Macaca mulatta: one gene and its partners. The protein of the gene in region 1 interacts with the protein of each later gene in a pairwise test. Links are inferred from orthologs where the notes say so. Each region holds a gene or a part of one and is shown on either strand. Other genes may lie near its edges. The genes, in order: VENTX, C1H1orf94 and TBX22.

The links.
Region 2: the proteins of VENTX (region 1) and C1H1orf94 interact in binary tests that used the Homo sapiens proteins (3 or more experiments, as listed by UniProt). The two-hybrid records come from large-scale screens. The link is inferred for Macaca mulatta from reciprocal best matches to the Homo sapiens genes VENTX and C1orf94.
Region 3: the proteins of VENTX (region 1) and TBX22 interact in binary tests that used the Homo sapiens proteins (3 or more experiments, as listed by UniProt). The two-hybrid records come from large-scale screens. The link is inferred for Macaca mulatta from reciprocal best matches to the Homo sapiens genes VENTX and TBX22.

The regions. Positions count from the first base shown.
Region 1 is NC_133414.1:145,333,892-145,338,264, forward strand, and holds the start of VENTX (homeobox protein VENTX), read left to right. Parts: upstream 1-1,519; 5' UTR 1,520-2,859; coding exon 2,860-3,100; intron 3,101-4,373. UniProt on the Homo sapiens protein: May be involved in ventralization.
Region 2 is NC_133406.1:206,661,042-206,665,176, reverse strand, and holds the start of C1H1orf94 (uncharacterized protein C1orf94 homolog), read left to right. Parts: upstream 1-1,277; 5' UTR 1,278-1,367; coding exon 1,368-1,687; intron 1,688-4,135.
Region 3 is NC_133426.1:86,363,606-86,367,219, reverse strand, and holds part of TBX22 (T-box transcription factor TBX22), read right to left. Parts: intron 2,615-3,614; coding exon 2,440-2,614; intron 1,494-2,439; coding exon 1,329-1,493; intron 951-1,328; coding exon 886-950; intron 341-885; coding exon 255-340; intron 1-254. UniProt on the Homo sapiens protein: Probable transcriptional regulator involved in developmental processes. This is major determinant crucial to palatogenesis.

The DNA of each region.
Region 1 (4,373 bases):
CGGGGAAGAGGGCACGTGAGGGTGTCAGTGAGGCCGAGGCCGCGGGGGTGGGTGTTGGGGAGGGATTGGGGCCTCCCCTTCAGGTGGTCTCAGAGTGCTCGGAGGAGGCTTGGGCGAGTCGTGACGGGGCCGGAGGGAGCAGGGCGGTCTGGACCCGGCGGCAGCACACGCTAGGTCCGGTGCTTGTCCTCAGGCCGTGGACTCGGGGGAAGCCCGTTTCGGGGACTAGTTGGGCTCCGGGCTGTGCGTGAGGGCGGGGCTGCCAGCCTGGGAGTGACGCGGGACTTCCTTGCCCAGCGCAACCCGGCCTGGACCCCGAGGGTGGGGAATGGGGCGACGCCCGCGGGGACCACCCTGTGCGGCGTGCGGGGCGCAATTCTCGGGGCTGGGCTGCCCCAGGGGCTGGGAGGGAGGAGGCGGAGGAGCGCCCAAGTCTCCTACCCATGGCGGCGCATCAGGACGCGTCCCAGAGCTGGGGGCGGACGGAGGCTCCGAGGCGGAGGCTCTGGTGACCCCAGACCTGGGCCAGAGCAGCCTCCGCGGGCCCTGGAGGGAGGGTGGAGGCAGAGGCCCGGGCTGCAGGAGTCGGGGGAGCCTGAGCCACGGCGGTGGGGCCGCTTGCCAGGGGAGAGGGGCCACCCAAGCCGCAGCAAGGGGCTGGGGTGGGGGCCCAGGACGAGGGGCTGTCTGGCCCTGCCGTGTGAAGGTGAGGAGGGGCGGTTCAGGTGGAGGTGGTGCGGGGGAGCTGGGAAACTGGCAGGAGGAGCTCTATGCAGAGCTGGGGCCGGCGAGGGGAGCTGAACCACGTGCAGAAGGTGGCTGAGACCTCGGGGCCGGGCCCCTGGAAATTAGAGATGGAGACGTGGAAGGCTGGGTGCTGGCGTTTCACAAACCCATGCTAGTGGTTTCCTCTTTATGTAAGGGATGCTTCTGGGCCTTTTCCCTGCCTGTCGAAAGTTCTGTGTGTGTGTTTGGGGGGCGGGGTGGGAGGTGAGGGTGTGCTGCGTTTTGCTCCACTTTGAGGCACCGCCCCGCCGCAGCCCCCACCCTCAGGGCCTCTGCTCCCAGGTGGCAGGGCCGCCCCCACTGCGGGAGGGCTGGGTACCTGCCTCATGGGGCATCCTCGGGGCCAGCCCTGTGGCCGTAGGCATCTGGGCCCTCGCTGCCCCTGGCCGGAACACTCTGCTGGTCCTGGGCAGTGGCTTCAAATCCCCTCTCCCGGGGGTGACCCGGTCTCTCCGGAGATGAAGTGGGGACGGGGTCTAGGCCGCCTTCCTGGCCCCCCAGCCCTCCTGGTTTTACCCCCGAGGCCACGTCCAAAGCCCCCAGCGCCCCACCCCTGCCAGCCTCCCCCTTGAGGGCCCGGTGGCCTAACTGGGTCGGCAGGGTCCGAGGAAGACCAGGGTCAGCAGCGGCGCGGTCCGTTCCCCGACCCCGTCACCTGTGACCCACCTGTTCCCCGTGAGGTCCCGCCCCAGCGCCCCCCTCCCGGGCTCCTCCCTCTTTTCTCAGCCCGGGAGGCGCGGATAGCCGGGTTGGGCGTAATCGTGGGGCGAGGCCCGCGGGTCTTTCTGATTTCGGAGAGCGGGGTGGGCGCTGAGGCAACCGCGGTCAGGACCCGGCCGGGAGTCGGGGCTGCTCCCTGGACCCCGTCTGCGCCGAAACCCCGCATGGCTTCGGACCTGCGCCCGCGCCTAACCCCGGCCGCCGGAGACGCAGTGCGGACCCCAAGCCAGTGCGCGGAAGACACCGTCCTACCCTCGGCGTGGGCGCAACGCGAGTCCGTGTGTCCCGGCGCGCGGGAAGCTGGTCCGAGGCCGGAGGGAACGCTCGCGGCGTGGCTGCCTCCCACCCGGCCACTTCGGCCCCGCGCCCCACCCCGACGGCGCAGGCGACCCGGGGACGCCCAGGACGCGGAGACGCAAACAACTCGGGACCGAGGTTCGTGGGAGCAGCGGCCGCGCGTCGCGATGACCGTCCCGGGAGCCCGTGCTCAAGGCGTCCCCGTGAGGTTTGGGCTCCACAGTCCCCGGCGGCTCTGCCCCCGTCCTGGCCACAGTGGGGACAGCCCGGCTTGGCGGGGACGCGCCAGTCCCGCAGCCGAAGCGGAGTGTCTACCCCGCCGCGCGAGGCAGTGGCTCCGGCCCTTCCAGCTCCGGATGGGGTCAGGGAGCCGCCCGCGCCCGCATGCGGAGGCTGCTGCGATGGCCCCGGGAGTGAGTCCCCCAGAGGAGCCGGAGTAGGGCTGGAAGCGGACGAGTGCCCCGAGAGGCCCCTCCCGACATTGCCGTCCCCGCGCGCCGCTCCCCGAGCCCTCCGCGTCTTTCCCGGAAAGCGTCCCTCGGTTCCTGCGCGACCGCACAGCCTGGACGCAGCGCACGCGGGCACCGGCTGAGTCCGCCCTGACTCTCCCAGCCTGAAGCCTGCTCGCCCTCGGGTGTCCGGGCTGGGCACAGGCGCCAGCGTCCCCCTGGAGAGGAGAGGTCGCCCGGCACCGCCCAGGGCAGGCCCGAGTGGGAGCGGGACCCTCCTACCTTCCAGCAGCCTCTGCCCGCGGGGTGGGGGTTGGGAGAGATGAAAGGAGGTGACCGATGCCGAACCGTTCCCTCTCCATTAACCAGGGCCCGCAGCCCCGCCCCTGCCCCAGACACCGAGGAGCCGGGGAGGTGTGAACGGTCTCCTTTGTGTCTCTGAATCGAAGGCAATTAGGCGCTGCTTATCCGGGCGTTAGCCGTGTATGCAAACCGGGCTCCCGCCCCCTCCTCCCGGGCTTATAAACGCCGCCGCCCGGCGAGGCCGGAGGTGGATCCTGCGCCTGGCCAGCCCCGCCCGGCCTTCCCTCCGGCCCACCTGGCCGCCATGCGCCTCTCCTCCTCCCCACCTCGTGGCCAGCAGCAGCCCTCCAGCTTTGGCTCTGTGGACTGGCTCTCCCAGAGCAGCTGCTCAGGGTTGACCCCCTCGCCCAGGCCTGCCGACGTCTCCCCGGGGAGCCTCCCTGGCCCGGGCCAGATATCCGGCGCCCGGGAGCCCCCTCAGGCCATCAGCATCAAGGAGGCCGCCACGTCCTCAGATCTGCCTGCGCCGGAGAGGACCGTGGCTGGTAGGTCCGGGCCGGGGGTCCTTCCCAGGTGGAGATGGGAGTGGGGGAGAGGCCAGGAGCCCGGCGGCTGAACTCCCCGCGGTACGGGGCGGACGAGGTCAGGGCCGGGGACGTGTCCATGAGGGCCGGCGGAGGCCTTGCCTGCGCCTCACTGGAGCGCAGCTTCCCTCGAAACCAAAGCCTTGACGGGGATTTTCTCTCCTTGAGCCCTCGGTGGGCTCCTCTGCCTCCCTTGGCACCCCGTTCCTCAGCTGTGTCCCACCGCGGCCTGGTGCCGAGGGACCGTCCAAGGGGTCCCTCTCCGCACCTCTCTGCCCTGATTCCGGGCGCTCACTGAAACACAGCGCGGGCGTGGGCACCTGTGCCCCTGGTGTTCCAGCCCCGCAACCATCGGGACCCAGTTCCAGGGGTCCGACGATTTGCCAAGCCCCCTCTGCCCCCAGCAAAGCCAGTGCCTGCTCAGCATCTAGGCTCAAGCCCCTTCCAGGCCACCTGGAGCACAGCTGTCTTTTAAAGAGCCTGCAGGTTTGCTGTTAGGGCGGCGGTGACCCGGTGCCTGCAGAAACTCTGAAGTTCGGTCTGTGGCCCGGAGATGCTCTGTTGTCTGCTGAGAACAAAGGTTCTCCGCGTTTGTGTTTTAGTCTTTGTGACATCGTTGCCGCTTTTAGGTTTAAGGTAGTACTTGGTCAAAAGTGGGGTTAACATAAGTTTTCATTTTTAAAAATTTGACTGATCCTCATGGAGTAACTTTGTACTTCAGGGAAATGAAAATTTAAATATGTTCTTCCCAGCTAGCTATCCTGCCCCACCCCAAAAAAGTCAACCATTCCTGTCCCCCAACCCCCTTCCTGATCCCAGTCCTACAGCCCTCCCCGCCACAAGGCGTTTGCTTTTCGGGTCTCCCATGTGCTTTCAGGCTAACGTGAAGACAGATTTTGTAAAATACGCTTCCTTCCGCAGAAACTCCAGTGAGCATTTGGGTCAGACTTGAGTTAAATGTTGAGCTCGTTTCGCCACGTTGGCCTCCTTCCTGGGACCCAGACCACACACCACCTTGTGGGGTTGTTTAGTGCCAGCCCGCATTCCTTAACTTAGAAATTAGAAAACAGACTTGACCAAGGTGGGCCTGGGGATTAACTGAGCCGGGCTCTGCTGGCTGAGGAGCCGGAGCCCAGGACAGGGACCGAGTTCCCTGGGTGGGTCCCCAGGCCTTTGCATGTAATGGACTCTACCTTACCTGCCTGGAAGTCTGCAGAAAGGGCATCCTGGGAAC
Region 2 (4,135 bases), on another chromosome or scaffold:
GTTGATCAGTAAACAGCTAACTTAGCCCTTCTCCCAGCACCTCGGACCTCCTACCCCTGCTCCTGCCCACCTACTGAAGCAGTCTCAGTGCTCAAGGGCTAGATCAGGCCTAGAGTGCTGGGGTCTGAATCTCAGCTCCCCTTTTCTTAGTGGGCCTTGGACACTATCATTTATGACTTTGAGATTCGCTTTCCTCCCATTTAGAACGATAATAAAAAGTGGTACTAATTTCACGAGCTTTGATAGGATTGAATGTGAGCCCAGCGCTTGGCACAGGGCAAGCGCCCCATAAAATGGCAGTTAGGATTAAACTCGAGGATGAGGTGGCCCCCCAGGCAGGAGCTGAGGTTTGTGTGGAGCGGTGAAGTGGGGCGGCGGCGCGTTTGGCTTTGACTTCTGATCCGCCGAAGCGCTCTGGGGTCCTTTGGGCCCCACCCCCACCCACCCCACCGGCGGGTCTTGGGCTCCGAACCCAGGGCGTCCCGCGCACCGAGCCGTTGCGTTTGAAACCCACAGAAAGAATTCCCCCGCTCGACGACTGCGAGGGTGTGGGAGCCATTGGCAGGGCAAATTGGTGGGAGCCGCCCGGCCCAGCCTGCCTTGCCGAGTCAGCGCGCTCTTGAGCTGCTGGGCCCTTCCCGGTGCCCATCCCGCAGCGCGGCGCGGCCAGGGCAGGGGTCTGCTGGGGGCCGGGACTGAGGGCTGTGGGCCCATCCACACACGCCTCGTCCCTTCTTTCCCGGGGCGGCAGAGCAGCAGCGGGAGACCAGGAGCAGGTGGGGTAGGGCGAGAGTAAAGCAAGAACTGGGCCGGCGGCGGGGACCGGGCCGTTGGCGCTCGCTCTGCGAGGGGCTCCCTGGGAACGCCCAGGCGAGCGTTTCCTGCGGGGCCCCGCCCCCCGGGTGCCTACCATGGTGTCAGGCCCGCACCCAGTTCTCCGCGTGTCCTAGCGGGCCAGCATGGGCTGAGCCCAGGCGCCGCAAGGTGTCACGGCGGCGTCGCAAGGGGGCAGTGCCAGGGACTGTGGGGAGAGCCAGCCCTCCCCCTCCAGCTGTTCCCAGATGTCATTCTGCCCGCCCAGGCGCCTGGTTCCTGAGCTCCGGGGCATTCCACTGTTCCTAAGCTACTGGTTTTTGTTGACTTTTAAATATTTTCTTCTGAGGGAGAGGGGGAGGGCGGCAAAAGTTAGGAAAGAGGAAATAAAAACAAATCAAAATAAGCCCTCCCCTCCCCAAAAGAAAACTGTCCTCCACCCACCCCTCCCACACAAATCGAAGGCCTCTGAACCTAACCACCTTGTGGGAGCGACAGCCAGACAGAACTGACCCACTTCTGCCAAGACCCATCCTCATCTCCCTTTCTGGTGAATGAGGAGTGGTGGTGGATGTCTTCTAGCCCTGGGTGGACAGAGGGGCTTCCAGAAAGAGCGGAGGAGGATGGCAAGTGGGAATGGGCTTCCTTCATCCTCGGCCCTGGTGGCCAAGCGCCCCTGCGCCCTGGGCCCATTCCCCAGATACATCTGGATCCACCAGGACACACCCCAAGACAGCCTAGACAAGACTTGCCATGAAATCTGGAAGAGAGTTCAAGGCCTGCCTGAAGCCTCACAGCCCTGGACCTCCATGGAGCAGCTGTCTGTCCCCGTGGCTGGAACTCTAAGAGGCAATGAGCTCAGCTTTCAAGAAGAGTGAGTACCCCCCTATTCCGTTGGCAGAAAGGGAGGAGGGAGGAGATGAAGTCTGACCTTCTAGGGGAATGTTCTGGCCCACCCTTGAGGCTGCTGAAACCCTAAAGGCTGTATATTGCCCCTTCCATGGTCCTTTGTCCAAGCGTTATAGAAGAGCTGACCAAGGTTCTGATGTTTCGTGGGTGAAGAGCCAGATTAGGGCTATATTCCAGGCTGCCTCTTCACTAGCCCACTAAGCAGACATCTCTCATCCTAAACGCATGTGAATCTGAGGTCCTTGAAAAACCACCCTAGCCAAGGCTAAGGGTTACATGGCTCGTGACTTTCCCCAGAAGCAACTAGAAGATCCTTCCCCTCTCCCACCTAAAGGCTAGGCATTCACATGGATGAGACTGATGGTTTTAAATCACATCTGGAATTCCCTAATACAGGGAGCAGCTGTCCCATTCAGCCTCCACAGAAGCTGCTGCAAGAGCACACATCAAAATATTTACTGGGAAGGCACTGACATATTCAGAGGACATAATAGAAAATTAAAGTGCGGGAAGATGGCTGTAAATAGCCCGTTTCCTGGATGGGAAATCCTGTGTCTGGGAAACACAGAGCTAAGTGTTTCTCCATCAGGGCAAAGTTGGGCAGATATTGTTGGGGATGGATATTCGAAAGGAAAGGAAGGAGCAGAGAGGAAAAAGGGACCTCATTAGGAAAAGAAGGTAAATCTGCTGTGGTTATTAATACCACTGTTGAGCACTTATTTCACATTTTGCATCTTCAAAGTGGACTGTAAACTTAATTAATGCTCCCAGAGTCCCTATGAGGCAGGTATTAGTGTCCCCATTTTACAGATGGATTAAGTGTTAATAATTAAGAGCTAATTAAAGACTAACCGATAATTAAGTGTTGCCTGCTCCAACACATGCTACAGCTCAGTTCAGAGATGCTCTGGAGTTGGGGAGCCATTCAGGCATTTATCAGCTGCCTCAGGTTTCAGGGATGCCAAAGCAAGAGCTAAGAAGAAATGCAAAGTGTAACGGACACCCACCTCTGCACTACCTGCTGTCCCTCTGTGGGCTCATTTACTTACTGCAGATGAAGGTGGAAGGTACTTTGGCTAGTCCTGCCTCCCTGCCCTGTGCTCAGCACGACATGGCTCAGATAGGAATGGCCTATCTACAGCCAAAATCCTGCTGTCAGGCCCTTCAGTGGCATTGAGCCCTTCTTCCCTGCTCATTGCCATCTGCTCCGGGACAGGGCCTTGGCAAGAGGGCTGTGCTCAGCTCTCAGTGGCCAAGGAGCTGATTGTCCACTTCGTGGACCAAGGGTCAGTAGCAATTTCCAGTAGATGGCACCCTCTTTGCCAGGTCACATGGAGTTAATGGAGACAGACTCTACTTCCAGTCTGCACTTGGCTGAAAATTGAACTGGTGCACCTTTGGCCAGCTGCTTAACTCCATTTGGCCTTTATTTCCTCATTTGCAAATTGAGGATGATATGCACTGCCTTGTCCACCTCAGAGTTGATAATGAGGATCCGATGTGATGGGAGACAGTGAAATGAAAGATGCATTATACAAATCAGGCTGCCCTTAACTTGTACTTCTTCAGGTTGGGATTTGTTGTTGTTGTTGTTGTTGTTGTTGTTGTTGTTGGCGGCTTCAATCTGGGATTTCACACTATGCTCCATATACCTCAAGGTGCTTCAGGGGTACCGTGGAGTCAAGCGGGCTGGTTGCTGGGCCCCAAAATCCATTTCAGCCAGAGCTGTTTAGCTTTTATCAGTTTTACTTACTGGAGTTCTGAGAAGGGCTGAATTTGAAAAGTATGTTTCTGCTATTGAGAAAAGAGATAGGAAACCACTGACTTAGATGAATAAACAATATCCTAATTGTCAACAAAATAGAACACAATGAGCTATTCTTAAAGGCAGTGTGCTGGTGGAGTCAGATAACTCTGGTTTCAGATTCCATTTCAGCCCCATGACATTTGAAGAATTTGTTACGGTTTAATTTATCTAAACTTTGGTTTCCTCATCTGCCAAATGGAGATTAATACTACACATTTTGTAGGGTTGTTGGAATGATTAAATGGGATATTTAAACATCTATGGTAATAATTCAGATTTGTAAAAATTCCCTGCAATTCAGATGTAATCATTTCTTTAAGCTCTACAATTATTGTATGAGGTAGGTACTCTTTTGAACTTTCCATCTCTTTTTACTTTTTATTATGCAGATTTTCAAACACATAGAATAATATGGTGAATATCTATGTGTCTACACTGAGTTTTGATAATTATCACATTGTGCCATTCTGGCTTCAATTGCTACCTCCACCCCTCCATTTATAAGTGAAATTCCTTTTACAGATAATGTGGCTGAGGTTTGGAGGGTTTAATTTCTTTGCCCAAGGTCCCACAGTTAGGAAGTGGTAGAGTTTCAGAAATGAAACC
Region 3 (3,614 bases), on another chromosome or scaffold:
ACAGGGTGTAAGATAACTTACTAACATATCTCAATAAGTCCACAATTACCACATTTCTATTCTCTTCCTTTATGCCAGCTTCTCTCCCTTTATGCCTCTTACCTCATCATTCAGGCAGAGGTACACCCACTTACCTGTAAGTACACATTTTCTTGCATGTACATATCCCTTTGTATAGTATTTGGTACAAGTGTTCTGGATGTTGTTATTTAATTAATATGTAAAAATAAAACAAATGTTCCAAGTTTTCTTACTTTGTGTGTCTGCGCCAAACGTTTTAAAATCGAGAGTGAAAGAAGGCCTCCATGGGTAGGTCTCTAAAAGCCCATCCAATACACCCCTAAAAAAGAGAGTCAACTTTCAGCATCCCCAGAATGCAATTTCTGAACATAATGATTTTGAGTTATTTGGCTATGTCTTTTAGATGTAACTATTTTAAATATTTCTCTTTTATACAGCTAGACTTCTGAATAAAATTCAGTTAAACCTAGAATTCTAAAATAAGCAAGATCTTAATACTGAGTAGCAAAGGAGTGGGAGGAAGTAATGTTTTAGACACAAAACATCTGGGTTCCTTTTCTACCACCTACTAATTACAAAATTTAGAGTGTTTGAGTCTCTGAGCCAGTTTTCTTATCCTTAAAACTTGTGGGGAGCCGGGCGTGGTGGCTCACGCCTGTAATCCCAGCTACTTGGGAGGCTGAGGCAAGTGAATCACTTGAACCCTGGAGGCGGAGGTTGCAGTGAGCCAAGATCGCGCCATTGCACTCCAGCCTGGACAGCAGAGTAAGACTCCATCTCAGAAAAAAAAAATAAAAATAAAAATAAAAACTTGTGAAAATAGCTAGCTACATCAATATTAGATGTCATTGCTATGCTGCTTACCTGTTTCTTCCAGTATCTCTAAATCCTTTAGCAAAAGGATTTCTTTCTATTTTTAGTTTCGTAATCTATGGATTCAATAGAGAGAGAAAGATAATATCATTGCTTTCAGTGAGAACACTGTCACCGTTGCTTATAGTGGTTACAACCACCAGAAAAGATGTTGCAACATGTAATATGACAATTTAAATAAATGTAACCATATTGCAAGTCATATTTAGAATGGTTAGCTCCTATTTATAAATCATTACTTTTATAAATTACATTCTGGAGTTGCCTTCTCACATAAGATTTACACAATTCATTATCAAACTTGCATGGATGACAATTCAATAAAACTATGATTTTTATTTAGAATTGTGGAAAATGCAACTGATTGCAGTTAGCCTCTATCCCAAGGTCCCTCTGGAGCCATTTCCATTTGCCTGAGACATGACCAGCTTTACCTGTTGGTTTTGGTAAGCCGTTACTGTGGTGAACTCAGTTTCTTTAAAGGAGAATGTTTTAACCCCTTCAGTGGGCAAGGACTGAAGCTGGGACAAGTCAACACTGCTGTCTTGCTCTATCACGTGCACTCGGGGTTTGTACTTATGCATGGATTGCAGAATAATCTGGAGGAGAAATGACCAATGCTGTTAGAAAAACTGGCTTCCAGTCCCCAACCCTAGTTCTCTCTCCTGACCACCTCCACCACGTGCACACTAAAAGGCAATGATGAGGCTTAGGTAACTATTTTGTTATGCCATTTGGCCTCCAACAGAGGCACTCCGAGGGATGCGCTCCGAGCTAAAAACATTTCCAGAGAAAGGCACCTCAGCGGCACCTGTCAGCAGTGATTCCATTTCCAGATTGAGGCCTTTTCCTGCTTCAAACATTGGCGACCATCTGGTGTGGAAGTGGCACTGCGATCTGCTAGCCTGCTACAGGTTCTCATGGCAGTAACTGATGGGCTTGGACATGGTGGGTAACCTTCTGGCATACCCTACCTCCTAATCTTGGGAGCTTCCGTCTTTCCTTTTGTAGCCGGCACAGTGCCAGACTGGGGAGGGCAGAAGCAGGGATGCACCTAGTTACAATGTGCAAGATCAATAGTACCTATGAGGGTTGGTTGGTGGGGAGGTTTCCAGGCTGCAGTCTGACATTCCCCCACTTGTATCCTTCCACCACACCATACAATACACTGGGTGCCCATCCAACTGCGTGGACTATAGGAAGGCAATCAGAGATCACAGTGATTGCCCAGGAGGCTATGGTGCCTGAGAACTCCCTGAATGGTTCCATCCTACTCTCCCAGACCAGGCATTCTGGCTTAAACAGGTCTCTTTCTGTCCTCAAACTCCCTATATTCGCCATCCCCAGTTGCCAGCACTCTCAGATGCCAAACAAACGTTTCAGGAGCCCTAGGTTGGCTACTTTACTTACAGGTGCAGGGCTTGGACAGTTCCTAAAAAACACAACATGTACATCTGCAAAAAGCTTCCTTGGCCTCTCCAGGGTGGCCAGTGGGCAGGAGCCTTGGCACCTCCCTACTCAGGGTAAAGGATTTTGCTCACGTACATGGCCTTTGTCATCCATCTCATTGTTGGTGAGTTTCATGCGATCAAAGCTGATGATCTGCCGCATCCAGGTCTCTCCTGAGCAGGGTGAGTCCGGGTGAACATAGAATCTAGGAATGATGCACAGATGATCCGTATTCCCGGCTACCATCCACTGTGAGCTGTGATACACATACCTGAAAAAACACATGCTGTGGCACTAGGTGCAGCAGGCCAAAGCTGGGAGCTGTTGTGTTCTGTTCCTGAGGATTTTGCTCCAGATTAGCCCAGTGATCTCAAGGGCAAGTAAGCAGAAGATTCAACTTAATTTCTAACAAGCATTCAGGGGCAAAAAATAAACTGTAAATAAGCATATGTCATCAAAATGCAATGAAGTGCAGGGCAAGTAAAATGTCATGAGATTTCTAAGTCTGGTTTGTATTTTCTCACAGAAAACGCCACAGAAATTGATCTAACCCATTTTATCTCACAGAGACAACGGAAAAATCCACTAGCTTTGGGTGTGAAGAGTCTGGGAAGAAGTGGAGGGCTGACAAGTATTTCTGTCTAGCCTACTGTCACCTGTCCTCGTGGAAGCCCTTTTGCCAATAAGGCTTCACATCAAGAAAACTCTTAGGAACACAGTCCTGCACAGCCTCTGGCCGATTTTCACACTATTTCCAATCTCAACTTCCCAGTTTTGCGCCTATTCCCATGCCAGCTGCAACTTGAGAAGCAAACAGCTTTTTCTGCTGTTTTCATACTGCAGCCCCAGCAGTCCTCTGAGCTGAGCCTTCTCCTTGCTTTCAAAGCTAGCTCTGGTTTTGAGGTGGGCTGTCTCCTTGGAGGACCAGGGACCCGCCTCTGTGTCAAATGCTCACAGCCCTAGTGTAAACAGCTGTCACCTCCCCACCCCTCCAACCGTGAACTAGACCCCAAGCCCCCGAGTCAAAGTGTTGGCAAGCTGGTGTGTCTGGGATGTATCCCACAAGGGCTTTTTGGCTTTAGAACAATTGGGCCACTTTCAGCCTGCTGTAGGTTGAGGACTTAAATAAAGGGAAAATGATACTTGTACTCTCTAAGACCCAGACATTGCTTCAGGGGAAAGATTAAAGATGGACCAAAAGACAGGCCTAGACACAGGAACTGCTTGACTGACCTTGAGTGGCAAATTGATCATCCTTCTGGGCTCCTGCT